Linked DNA regions of Caenorhabditis elegans. The protein of the gene in region 1 interacts with the protein of each later gene in a pairwise test. Each region holds a gene or a part of one and is shown on either strand. Other genes may lie near its edges. The genes, in order: M03A8.3 and reps-1.

Evidence for each region.
Region 2: the proteins of M03A8.3 (region 1) and reps-1 interact in a two-hybrid assay, tested with the Caenorhabditis elegans proteins (one large-scale study listed by BioGRID).

The regions. Positions count from the first base shown.
Region 1 is NC_003284.9:6,798,762-6,804,427, forward strand, and holds M03A8.3 (TLDc domain-containing protein), read left to right. Parts: upstream 1-1,926; 5' UTR 1,927-1,965; coding exon 1,966-2,022; intron 2,023-2,334; coding exon 2,335-2,604; intron 2,605-3,232; coding exon 3,233-3,305; intron 3,306-3,364; coding exon 3,365-3,506; intron 3,507-3,556; coding exon 3,557-3,655; intron 3,656-3,698; coding exon 3,699-3,812; intron 3,813-3,855; coding exon 3,856-4,098; intron 4,099-4,387; coding exon 4,388-4,484; intron 4,485-4,616; coding exon 4,617-4,646; 3' UTR 4,647-4,943; downstream 4,944-5,666.
Region 2 is NC_003283.11:18,985,306-18,992,445, reverse strand, and holds reps-1 (REPS (RalBP1-associated Eps domain-containing protein) homolog), read left to right. Parts: upstream 1-1,945; 5' UTR 1,946-2,077; coding exon 2,078-2,183; intron 2,184-3,116; coding exon 3,117-3,532; intron 3,533-3,632; coding exon 3,633-3,744; intron 3,745-4,613; coding exon 4,614-4,832; intron 4,833-4,959; coding exon 4,960-5,018; intron 5,019-5,461; coding exon 5,462-5,782; 3' UTR 5,783-6,472; downstream 6,473-7,140. Other genes in the region: Y39B6A.37 (Structural protein), read right to left, coding at 1,041-1,588; mrps-35 (Small ribosomal subunit protein mS35 mitochondrial conserved domain-containing protein), read right to left, coding at 6,831-7,073.

The DNA.
Region 1 (5,666 bases):
ACCAACCGCTTTTATGGCTAGTTGTGCCCATTTGATTCGTTTTCCACCTTGTTCTTCTTTTCGCTTCCCGTGTGTTTTCGGTTTATTTTGTCTCTTTTCTGCTTATTCTCGTCGTTCAATCTCAAAACACCTCCCATTAAAACCGAACAGTCAATAATTGAGCAGTGGTCTTTGATAAGCCGCCGTCGAAATAGAATTTGCTAATTTTTCTAGATACCCTTTTTAAACTTCCATTTCCGTTTTTTTCGATCATGCACGCTCCAATGAGAACAGTGATATAGTTGCCGTCTTGAAAGCATGTTAATGTACGGAACAAGTTTGGAGGGCGTCGGCAGTGAATCCGTTCTTTTTGACATGCAAAACCAAATGAAATTCAAAACCTTTTTGCCCATACTTTCTACTCTCTATATTCTTCCTTGTGAAGGTGTTCTATTCAATTGCATATGTATGTTTTTTGCTTTCTTTCCAAGCACATTAACAGTGTAACTATGATCAAATTGTCTAGATTCTCGATTGGTTTTATGTTTCAACGGATCTGATGACCGTAAATTTGTAATCGTTTCAGGCTGTAAACCTGATGAGTACAATTTAGGGTGACAGATTTTATGCACTTGCACTGATTGATTTTTGTTGCGTTTATGTGCACTTTAAACTGACAAGTGCATACAAAAATAAAAACTCCAGAAATTTCAAATAAGCAGAAAAACGGATTTTATGTATTTTAACCACATATTGTGAACTATTTTTTCTGTATTTTCAAGTTTAGTAAAATACAAGTTTTTTTTCATCTTGGCCTTCTTTGATTATTCAAAAAAATTCCCAATCATATGGTCTGAAGGGTTTGAAAATTGGCTATGTCCCTAATAGAGATGGGCAAAAGAAATCAAGAGATCAAGAAAAGCCGTTCCAAAAACTCAAGAAAATGTCAAGAAATCAATTTATGAAGAATGCCCAGCTTTCGTCCCTATTCGTGCTTTTCCATATTTACATCGCATTTTTAGTAACGAAATTTTGTGCTTTCGCTTTTTTATTACTAGATTATAATGAAAAAAACTTTTGCTCCAATCATAGAAACTTTGAAATATTACCAAAAATTTTGATTTGGCGTTCAAACATTTTTAGACCTATTTCCGTGATAGTCTTTTCTAATCTTCTCTTTGAATCAAAAGAGCTCATCTTTATTATCTTTTTTTCTCTTATCAACCCGAGACCATCAAACACGAACGGTCAATCATTGTATGTATGTCTGTGCAACAAGTGTCTTTCGAATGTTTGTCACAAAAATTGGTGGGAATCTGAGTGGTTGTAATGCAAATAGATTCGACGTGGTAGTACTGTTTAGCTCTCACTGGTTTCCTTTCATTTTCATTTTATCGGACCCCACAACTCATCAAAATCTGCCACCATCGAGACTGAACATGCCGCAATCGTCCAAGTTCACCACTAATCCTAAAATTATGTACTCTATACAAATAATCTGTCAGGTATGGCATACGGTCTTCAACTCTCCATCTTCTAGTGTTATCTTTCTCAAGTCAAGAGGACGCGGAACATTGCCTCACTTAAAGGGATGCCGTTTCGGGCTCTGCGTTAGGAAATTGTATTTTATCGGTTGTTCTTCTTTTTCAAAAGTTTTCGATTCAGATTTTTACATTTTTAGTCGCCTGTGTCCGTATTAATGTGCGTGATAGTGTCGTGATTTTGTTTGACAGCTCGCGATTTAATGTTTGCGTGATAGGTCTGAGCATTTTCGGAGGCTTATGATTTGAAATTTGAAATTCGAAATTTGAAATTAAAAACTATAGGTTTTACTACTGATTCAATTCATGTTTTTTTCATTCTCGTTTCATCTCCCTTTTGAACTTTTCTGTACACAAACACACCTTTTCAATGTTGTTCTTTCTTCATTTCAATTCCTCTTTGAAGGCATTCTCCAACTTTCTTCCATCGAGATACATAAAATCAATGGAGCCTCTCTTGACAACAGAAGTTCAATTGTACCAAGATAAATTAATAGGAAAAGTAAGTTAATCATGCTATAGTTGTATTAAATTAAGTTTACTTTAACTAATTGTTGGGATCAACTATGTTCCGTGGATTTGTTGTGTAATAATACTCATAATATTTCAAAATCCTCAAATAGTTTAACTAAAAATTCAAAAAAACTACAAACTTTTAAGACACTTTTTAGTCTGTTTTCCAAACGATGATCAGAACTGAATTGGCGCTTTTTTAACTGTAATTTAAAAAATAGTGAAAACTTCAACTACGAAATTTGAGCATGAGCATTGGATATACTTACGCTAAAAATTCTTTCAAAAAAATAGATTTCAGAAATGGAAATCCTACATCGCGAGTTTCTTCGACGAAAATTCTCTGGGCAAAGCTAGAATTGAACTTTTTCAAAGTGACGGGAAAAAGAAGCACTCGGAGCCTGCAAAAACTGTTTTGTTAGAAAATGTGGTATCACTAAAACCGGCAAAAACCGATACAGGAGCCTCTTTTGTAAAAGTACAATATAAGGATGACTCTTTCGTGCAATTTTCCAGTGAAGAATTGCAGAAAATTATCGATGTTCTTAGCGCAATTTGTTTTCCAAAAAAGGTTGGTGTTAAGGGTTTGAAAATATGTTCGTATAGTTATTAGAGCCCCAACGTGTTTTTTAATTAATTGAATTTTTCTTCAGAATGCGTTCACATTTAGAGCAGCATAGTTCTAATTTGTTTTTGCAAGTTTTTAAACTATATAAAGTTCTTTAATTATTTTATTTTAATTATTTACGATGTTATTATGGCTCATACTAGTTGCATATCTTTAGCACTTACTAAAAAAAGACACCCTTTCCTGCAAAATAACAAATTTTAAACATGGTTTTCCCGTAAATCATTTTCCATACATTAAGACCCCCCATTCTTTAATTTTGTGAATTTAAATGTCACTTCCAATGCTTCATTGTCCGTAAGTCAGAAATGTTTGATGGCGCGTCAGGTGGCTTTCACCCTAGACACCTCTCAACCGGTTGCGAAGGTTGCACCACTGTTTGCAAAGCAGAAGAAGAAGAAGAAATTGGAAAATTTCAATGTTTGCCTCTAACATTTAATTATTTGAATAATACGTTGCAATTTAAAAAATGGCAAATTTATTTATGAAGTTTCACCAAAAATGACAAATTTAGAAAAAAAATATTGAAACTGCCATACTAACAAACTTAAACTTGAAAAAAACCTTACAGCTGCAATATGTCACAATTGCCCCCAGCACTTCATTGGATTCTCCCACCGAGGACGAGGAATGCTTCGAATTTCGTATGTTGATTGATTGGTTTCAGAACTGGTTTTTGGTATACACTATTTAATTTTTTCAGCAGAAACATACACAATGCTGAAACTGAAACAAGTGAACGGTAGAGAAAAAACAGAAGGGGTTTACAATTTAAAGTTTGCTGAACATCTTCAAATCAGTGGTCCGAATAACGTGCATTGTATTCCATACCAGACGTTGATATGGTAAAACTATTATTTAGAGAGGTTTTTATTCCAAGTTATATGTTTTGTAGGGTTGGAACGGGGGAACATTGCGTTGGCTTTGGAGTTGAAAATTTGGGAATTTTTGAATTTGCCACTGGAGATGCCATTCTTTTCGTGGAACACTTGAGGTGTGTAATTCTGCGATACAAAATATAATGCATTAATTTTCAGAAGTTTTATTCGATTTAGTTGTGACTTCAGCACCCCTCAGACAAAAACGATTTGCCGCTTCAATCGTTATTTTCATCCCAATAGACTCGTGAATAACACCAGCCCAGGGCTCAGGTACTTTGCATTTCCGTGTTCAGAATTCAATTTCCGTTTTCAGTAACAACTCAACAATGGAGAGTGTGGACTCTGGCGGCGTTTATTCAAAAATCCAGGGCTCAACAGACACTTCAGTATCTAGCCTGCAATTGAATGAAACCGAATTTGTGAACAGAGTTGTGAAAAACGAATTGAGACGAAACGCGTCAATGGAAATGTTGAGACATAAGATTTCTTTTTTGCAAAAGAAAAAGAATGAGTCTCGGACGGATTTCGAGGAATCAGCGGACAGGGATTTTGTCAGGTTTGTGAATTACCACACATTCTTAAAGAGGAGCTAGCGGTTCTTAATCATTTTTAAAAAAGATCTTTTTCACTAAAGAAGTGGTTTTCGCCAATCTTCTACTGGTGCTATTTGACTTTTCTGTAAAAATAGTATGATGTTGTTAGAAGTGGATAAACTTTGTTCATATTGTTATCTATCTGAAATAATTTGTCTTATGAAATTCTAGAAATCAAAAATGCGGGAGAGAGACAGAAAAATCAAATAAAACATCTGGCATTCATTGAAGATTTATGATTGACAATTTCAGAGTCCAACTGCCGAAAGGAATATTGCTCGAGCAAAACAAATTCTCACCAACGAAAAGCGTGTCGTTCCAAGATATGGATTCGGTGACGTCTGAGAATGTATGAGCTTTCTTCCACTTTTTTCCCTCACATCCTTGCTGCCGTCACCCACTTTCTTCAATTTCACACAACTTAATTTCTCACAACAACAACAACGTCTTCCTCACAATTCTAATTCAATATTATTTGCAGAAGATTTACACCCGTCACACCGACTTGTAATTTGAATTTCAATTCCGATTTTCTTCTCCTATTTTCTTCTTCCCTTTCCGCGTTTACTTCGTCAGCTTCTTGTTTCAAAATGTTCAATGCCAACGAATGTACTACGCACACAAAAGATTGATGAATAGATAAATTCAACTTGCTTTATCGACTTTATTTTTATGTACTCCTTCTTCAAGTTTTTAATTCATTTCAGCCCTTTCCCTGTCGCCACGCATTCTGGTTTTTTGCAAATTCATATTTTTCCTTCATTTTAAAGTTTCAATATAATATAGTGAACTATAAAACGAATTTTTACATTTCATTTCTGTTTTTGAAATATTGACAAAATCCGGTTCTTGAATTTTCAGCCTATTATACAGAAAAACATGCATTACCGCCTTGTTTACTTTTTTGTATTGTTTTTCTTCTACCAAAACGTAGATCCACACTTTAGGTAACCTGTTTTCAAATTGTAAAGTAATCAACAATTTTTCATAGAAAAAAAACTGTCATAACTACGCACACAAAAAAGCCTTGAACTATTACGCACGTTTGAGTCACCTGAGACCTGCGACAGCTTCTGGTCATATTTGGCAATTTTTTGTTTCGTTTTTTTTTTCACTTCTACAATTTGAAATCGTGTTCGCGCTATGTGAATGAAATTCCACCAAATTTTCTTGTGTATGGCTTGTTTCGTAACCCATACTCGAGCAATTATTTATAAACACAGACAAAGATCTTAGATTTTCCTGCATTCGTGGGTAGTTATCTTATGCCGTTTATATATGTTGTTATGATTTAGAAATTGTGTTATTGAAACTGGAATTTGATCAAAAACTGCGTAATTTATCTTCAACATATATTGTAAATCATTCTTTTTTAATTTGAATTTTTGTTTGACAAAAAAGTGTTAAACCACGGCATTTGTGAATTTAAATATAAATATTTTTACAAGTACGAAAAAACACTGTTTATTTTTGTATAAAAATTATTATTCACTTTTTCTGAAAATTAATCTAATACTCAAAAAAGAATTAT
Region 2 (7,140 bases), on another chromosome or scaffold:
CCCAAAACTTGTAGTTTGTAGTCTAAGCAGCGCCCAAAATTGAATTAGCAGCGCCCAAAAGTTGTAGTTTGTAGTGTTAGCAGCGCCCAAAACTTGTAGTTTGTAGTCTAAGCAGCGCCCAAAATTGAATTAGCAGCGCCCAAAACTTGTAGTTTGTAGTCTAAGCAGCGCCCAAAAGTTGTAGTTTGTAGTTTAGCAGCGCCCAAAATTTGTAGTTTGTAGTGTTAGCAGCGCCCAAAACTTGTAATTTGTAGTCTAAGCAGCGCCCAAAACTTGTAGTTTGTAGTCTAAGCAGCGCCCAAAATTGAATTAGCAGCGCCCAAAAGTTGTAGTTTGTAGTTTAGCAGCGCCCAAAATTGAATTAGCAGCGCCCAAAAGTTGTAGTTTGTAGTGTTAGCAGCGCCCAAAACTTGTAGTTTGTAGTTTAGCAGCGCGTAAAATTGAATTAGCAGCGCCCAAAAGTTGTAGTTTGTAGTTTAGCAGCGCCCAAAATTGAATTAGCAGCGCCCAAAAGTTGTAGTTTGTAGTGTTAGCAGCGCCCAAAACTTGTAGTTTGTAGTTTAGCAGCGCGTAAAATTGAATTAGCAGCGCCCAAAAGTTGTAGTTTGTAGTTTAGCAGCGCCCAAAACTTGTAGTTTGTAGTCTAAGCAGCGCCCAAAATTGAATTAGCAGCGCCCAAAACTTGTAGTTTGTAGTCTAAGCAGCGCCCAAAATTTGTAGTTTGTAGTGTTAGCAGCGCCCAAAACTTGTAGTTTGTAGTCTAAGCAGCGCCCAAAACTTGTAGTTTGTATTCTAAGCAGCGCCCAAAATTGAATTAGCAGCGCCCAAAACTTGTAGTTTGTAGTTTAGCAGCGCCCAAAATCACATTTTCGCTCAAAATTAACCAAAATTGCCGGTTTTTTCGCATTTTTCGACGGAATTTTCTGTTTAATTCGTTAAAATTTGGGAATTTTTATGATTTTTCAGCGGAAATCGCTTGAGCAGCGCCCAAAACTTGTAGTTTGTAGTTTCCACGTGGGGCTCAATTCCTCGAAACTTACACAAATTCGCCAGTTTTGAAGCTTTTCGTGTCATTTTTATCGTGAAATTCGACATTTGTGGGTTTCAGCGCCTTATCAACATAAAATTCACTGTCCAATCCATACAAAAGCTGTCCTTTATCACTAATATCATCACTTTCTCGCCGTTCCAGCAGCTCTTGCGGTGCTTCATCATCATCATCATCAGTCGGTGGATCCGAATCGAATCCGCTGCTTTCCCCGCCGCCGGCTTCTCGATTTTCAGCCGGCGGTAGATCACCGGATTCACTGCTCGCCGAGCTGTCTGGAGCCCCCCCGGCGGCCGAAATTCCGACGCCATTGTACTCGACGCCATATCCAACGTACCAGCCGTCTTCTAAATTCGAATTATCAATCGAAAAAGTGTCGATTTGAAGGATTTCGCAGGGTTTTGTGGATTTTTGAGCATTTTCGTGCTGTTCCATCGTTAATCCTTGCTTCCCGAGCGCATTTTTCAGCGTTTTCAGCTCTCTTTTTGTGAGATTTCGGGCTTTTTCAGGAATCTGCGGGATTTCGGACGATTGGGGCATCAGAACCTGGAAAAAATAATTGTTATGCTGTTAAAATCGAATTTTGGGGCAAAAAAAACCTTAAAAATACGATTTTCCGGCTGAATTTCATTATTTTTCGCAAAAATTTCAGATTTAGCTCGAAAATCGGTTGAATCTTGCCGATATTTGATAGTTTTCACCCGTAAAAACCCCGAAATCCATGAAAAACCACTTTAAAACTGAAAAACAAATTATACAACTAGGAAATGGATATTTTTCAGCGTTTTAGGTGTATGAATAGGAGATTTTAACGCTTTTTTAATTAATTTTTGCTTTAAAAAACTGATTTTTACCCAAAAAATCTGTGAAAATTGAGTTTTTCAGCTGAAACATCGTTTCAAAACGAAAAAATAAATTTGCCGGCACGAGAATCGCGCCAGTCAACCCCCTTTGCGCATCTCCAGTGCGCTGGCGCATTTCTCGTGCACCAACTATTTTATTTGCTTTTCCGCGAAAAAATCAATTTCCATGACAGAAAACGACAAAAAATCGCAATATTTTTCGAATGGAGACTTTGAAAAAGTCGCTGCCGATATTATTAGTAGTCCGAGACGTCTGAAGCACACGAGTCCAGGTGATTATTTTGAAAAATAAAGAATTTCAGCTCGAAATCGGCAAATTTGATGCAAAAACGTGGAAATTAAGCTGAAAAACGGTGAAAAATCCAGAAAAATTAGGAAAAAGTGCAAAATTATCCTCAAAAATGAGTAGTTTTAATGAAAATATAACCTTTTTCGATTTTTCTCAAATTTTTTCGCATTTTTGAAGAGATTTCCGCTATAAAACAGATGAAACTAATTTAAAAAAACCACTTTTGAAGGTTTTTGAGTGAATTTTTTGGGCGCTGCTTAGACTACAAACTACACAATTTTAGGCGCTGCTAATTCAATTTTGGGCGCTGCTAAACTACAAACTACAAGATATTGGTCGCTGCTAAACTACAAACTACACAATTTTGGGCGCTGCTAAACTACAAACTACAAGATTTTGGGCGCTGCTAAACTACAAACTACACAATTTTGGGCGCTGCTAAAGCTACAAACTACACAATTTTGGGCGCTGCTAAACTACAAACTACAAGATATTGGTCGCTGCTAAACTACAAACTACACAATTTTGGGCGCTGCTAAACTACAAACTACACAATTTTGGGCGCTGCTAAACTACAAACTACACAATTTTGGGCGCTGCTAAACTACAAACTACACAATTTTGGGCGCTGCTAAACTACAAACTACAAGTTTGGGCGCTGCTAATTCAATTTTGGGCGCTGCTAAACTACAAACTACAAGATTTTGGGCGCTGCTAAAGCTACAAACTACACAATTTTGGGCGCTGCTAAAGCTACAAACTACACAATTTTGGACGCTGCTTTTCCGTTTAGCGGCGCCAAAATCGATTTTTTCTATTTTTAAGCACATTTTCTCAGGGAAAATTGCAAAAATCGAAATTATTTCGGTTTTAAAGCTAAAAAACTCGAAAAAATCCAAATTTCCCCAATTTTCAGCCGATTCCAACGCGGATTCTCTCTTCAAAATCACTGAAAAACAGCAGGAATACTACACAAAATGCTTCCGTCACTTAATAAAAACCACTCAAGGCGCCGCAGACCTCTGCGGAGCCCTTTGCGGAGCCGATCAACGAATTGTAGCGTTTTTCAAGAGAAGCTCGCTGGATATGAGCTCTTTATCGAAAATCTGGTCGCTGGCCGATGTGAATGAAGACGGATGGTTGGATTTAAACGAATTCTCGATTGCGATGCATTTAGTAGTGTTGAAAGTGAAAGGAGAAGTTCCGATTCCTGATGTGCTACCCGGTTTCGCGCGGCCACCACTTACAGAGCCACGGGCTCCGTCTACAGTTGCGGCGACGCCTAGTCCCGCCGGTGCAGGACATGTAGAAGCTGATGGGCCAGTGAAAAATGTGGGGGTTTTTGAAATAATTTAATTGACTTTTGAATATGTATCATCATTCAAAACATTAACGACGTTTTTTTTTTAATTTCGAATTTTTCCAATTCCAGTGGGCAAACCAGCCAATCATCAAACAATTCTCGGATACACCGCCATTATTAGTGGACAGTAGGCCAACAGCTATCAAGCATTCTGCATTGTTAGCACTTAAGAGTCCACTGGGTAAGTTTGGATTCATTGAAGAAATTGTTGTAGTGTTTATTATACTTCTCAAATGTGTGAACACAATATAAAAAGTTTAAATTATTGACTAATAATAATTTATTCGAAAAATTGCTAGTTGAATAGCAGTCATACTACAAAAACTACAATAGTTTTCGATTCAAATGTTTTAGAAAACCTAGTTTTCTAATCAGTAACATAGTTATTTATATACTGACTAAGTAACTAATTATTTAATTAATAACTATTTAAGTACGTTTTTAATTCGTGACTTAGTTAGTAATTAAAATACTTACTGAGTTGCTAATTATATAACTTGGTAAGTAGTTAATTAGAAACTTAGTTATGAAATTACTAACTCAATACGAATTTAATTACTAACTTAGTGAGTATTTAATTAGTAACATAGTTATTTAATTTATAACTCAGGAAGTATTTAATTAGTGACTTAGTTAGTAATTAAATAACTAAGTAAGTATTTAATTACTAACCCTGTTAGTGTTAATTAGTAACAAAGTGAGTATTTAATCAGTAACGTAGTTATTTAATTTGTAACTAAGGAAGTATTAAATTGCTACTAAGTGAGTATTTAATTACTAACTAAGTGGGTATTTAATTAGTAACAGAGTGAGTTTTTAACTACTAATTTTCTTATTTAATCATCATCTAAATAAGTACTTAATTAGTAACTTAGTAATTAAATTACTAACTACGTAAGTATGTAGTTAGTAACTTAGTTATTTAATTACCTAAATAAGTATTAATAAGTATTAAGTATTAAGTAAGTTCATTAAAACACGCAACACTCAATATTTAGTAGTATTTGCAATCTAAGAGCAGCGCCCGAAATCAATAATCCATATTTTCAGGACCCCCACCAATTCCACCTGTCCGCCCACAACAACAACAACGTGGACACAACAGAAGTGCAAGTCTTGACTTGAAATTGATTGCATTGAATAAGACAAAAGCCTCGGCGGAATCCCAGCTACCACCAACTACCCTATCACTTTGGTCATCACATTCCGATCCGACAGCTCAATCGATTAGTACTACAACGACTACGACTACTTTTGCGTCTTTTCCTGGTATGAGACTGAAAAATTGGGCAGAAATTCGAAAAAAATTTTAAAAAAACTGGAATTTTTCAAAAAATATATTGCTTTCAATTTTCGAGAAAAAATCAAAATATTCCCAATTTCCGCAAATTTTCAGCCACCCCGGACAGTATTCCACCGCCGATTCCACAAAGAATCACACCGTCACCTCTACCGGTAAGTTAAGGGAAAGCTTTTAGTTGTAGTTTGTAGTCTTAGCAGCGCCCAAAGTTTGAAATTATTCGTTTTAACGAATTTTTAAGAAAAACTTTTCAAAATTGCGATAAAATCGAAAATTAGTGTAGTTTTTATTTTCTGAACAGGTTGAAAATCACAAAAATATGATTTTTAAACAATTTTTGGCTATTTTTTTGTGCGCTGCTATTTTTTTGGGCGCTGCTAATTTTTGGGCGCTGCTATTTTTTTGGGCGCTGCTAATTTCTTGGGCGCTGCTAATTTCTTGGGCGCTGCTAATTTCTTGGGCGGGCTGCTAAAAATTTACTTGTAGTTTGTAGTTTTAGCAGCGCCAAAATTCAAAAATACTCATTTTTAACCATTTTTCTTCAAATTTTTCAAATTTTTCACTGAAAAATCTCCAAAAATTCACAATATTTTTGCAGAGAGTCATCGAAGAGGAAAAACGAATTACCACAACAGATTCATCAACACAAACTACAGAATTACTCTATTCTGAGGAAGATGTGAAGAGCTTTTTCTCGAAAATCGGCCATCAAATCGACGATTTAATTGGAGAAGAGATTCAGGCAACTGATGGGCAAGGAATTGAACGATGGAAGGAACGTTGTACAGCTTTGAGGACTCAAAATTCGGAATTAGAAGCCGAAAGAGCACGGTTGGCTCAAGTACGGATTCAATTGGAAATACGAATTCAGGAATTTGAAGAGAGATCCAAAACTGCGTGCTCTTCTTCTACACTTTAATGATATCCCCGGTGGAGGAAAAATGGATGGGAAATTCGAATTTTTGAGGAAAAATAGGAAAAAAATAATTTTTTTCGGCTTGAAAAACTAGGAAATAACACATTTTATTTCGAATTTTCCGGAAAAAATTTTTTTTTTGGAAAAAACTCAATTTTTAGCTGGAAAAATAGAATTTTTAAAGATTTATTACGTTTGGTTAGGAAAATAACAAAAAAATTCGAAATGTATCAATTTCTATGGAAAATTATTTTTTCTGAAAATTTATTGATTTTTCTGAAAATTTATTGATTTTTCTGAAAATTTATCGATTTTTCTGAAAATTTATTGATTTTTCTGAAAATTTATCGATTTTTCTGAAAATTTATCGATTTCTATGGAAAATTTATTGATTTTTCTGGTTTTTCGCATTAAAAAACATGAAATTTGCCCATTTTAGAGCAAATTTTCAAAAATTTCTGAGAAAAAGGTATTTCCCGAAATTAAATTTAACTTCTAAAAAAGTTTTTAATTATTTTCTATCAAAAATTCGAATTTCCCACCAATTTCTCCCCCAGATTCCCCGCAAAAAACTAAAAAATCTGCATATTTCTTCATAATTTCTGTGATATGTCATATATATATTTCATTTTTACCTATGTTGTAATTTTTTAAAATAAGCATCAATTTTTCTATTTTCTGTGATAATTTAATCTATTACACTATCTTCTTTTTTTTTTTTGAAAAAAAAAATCATAAAGTATGTATTGATTTTTACACACATTAAAAATAACTATTTTTTAAAATTGGAAAATATATATATATAAATTTTTCCAAAAAAAAATGAAATAACATGAAAGATGGGAACTATCTAAAAAATTCGGACAAAAAAATTATTACAGATCCGGCTAAAAATTTGGAAAAAATTCCAAATTTTGACAGAATTTGAGGGATCTATTATAAAAACTGCTAGAATAACAAAAAAAAAACAAAAAATTTTCGAGAAAAAAAATTATTACACATTCGTGACGAATGTATAATAATCTTAGCAGAACTAAAAAAAAACAGTAAATTATTGTTGAATTCCGAGTAATTTCTTCATCTGACGACCGTATTCCCGCGTTTTTTCGACAGTTTCCTCGCTATTTCTATAGGCTTTCCACATTTCTCCGAATTCGTCAATCGATTTTTGATCTCCACATCCGGCGGCGCTGGGGCTTAATCCAGGCGTCAACTTGGCTTTTTCCAGTAAATCGATGAGTTTGGTTTTGGTGTTGGAGCCATCGAATTCAACTTTCAGAGCGTCGGTGCGGTTCTGGAAAAAAACATTGGAAATTTGGCTGAAAAATCGATAAATTTCCGGAAAAATCAATAAATTTCCA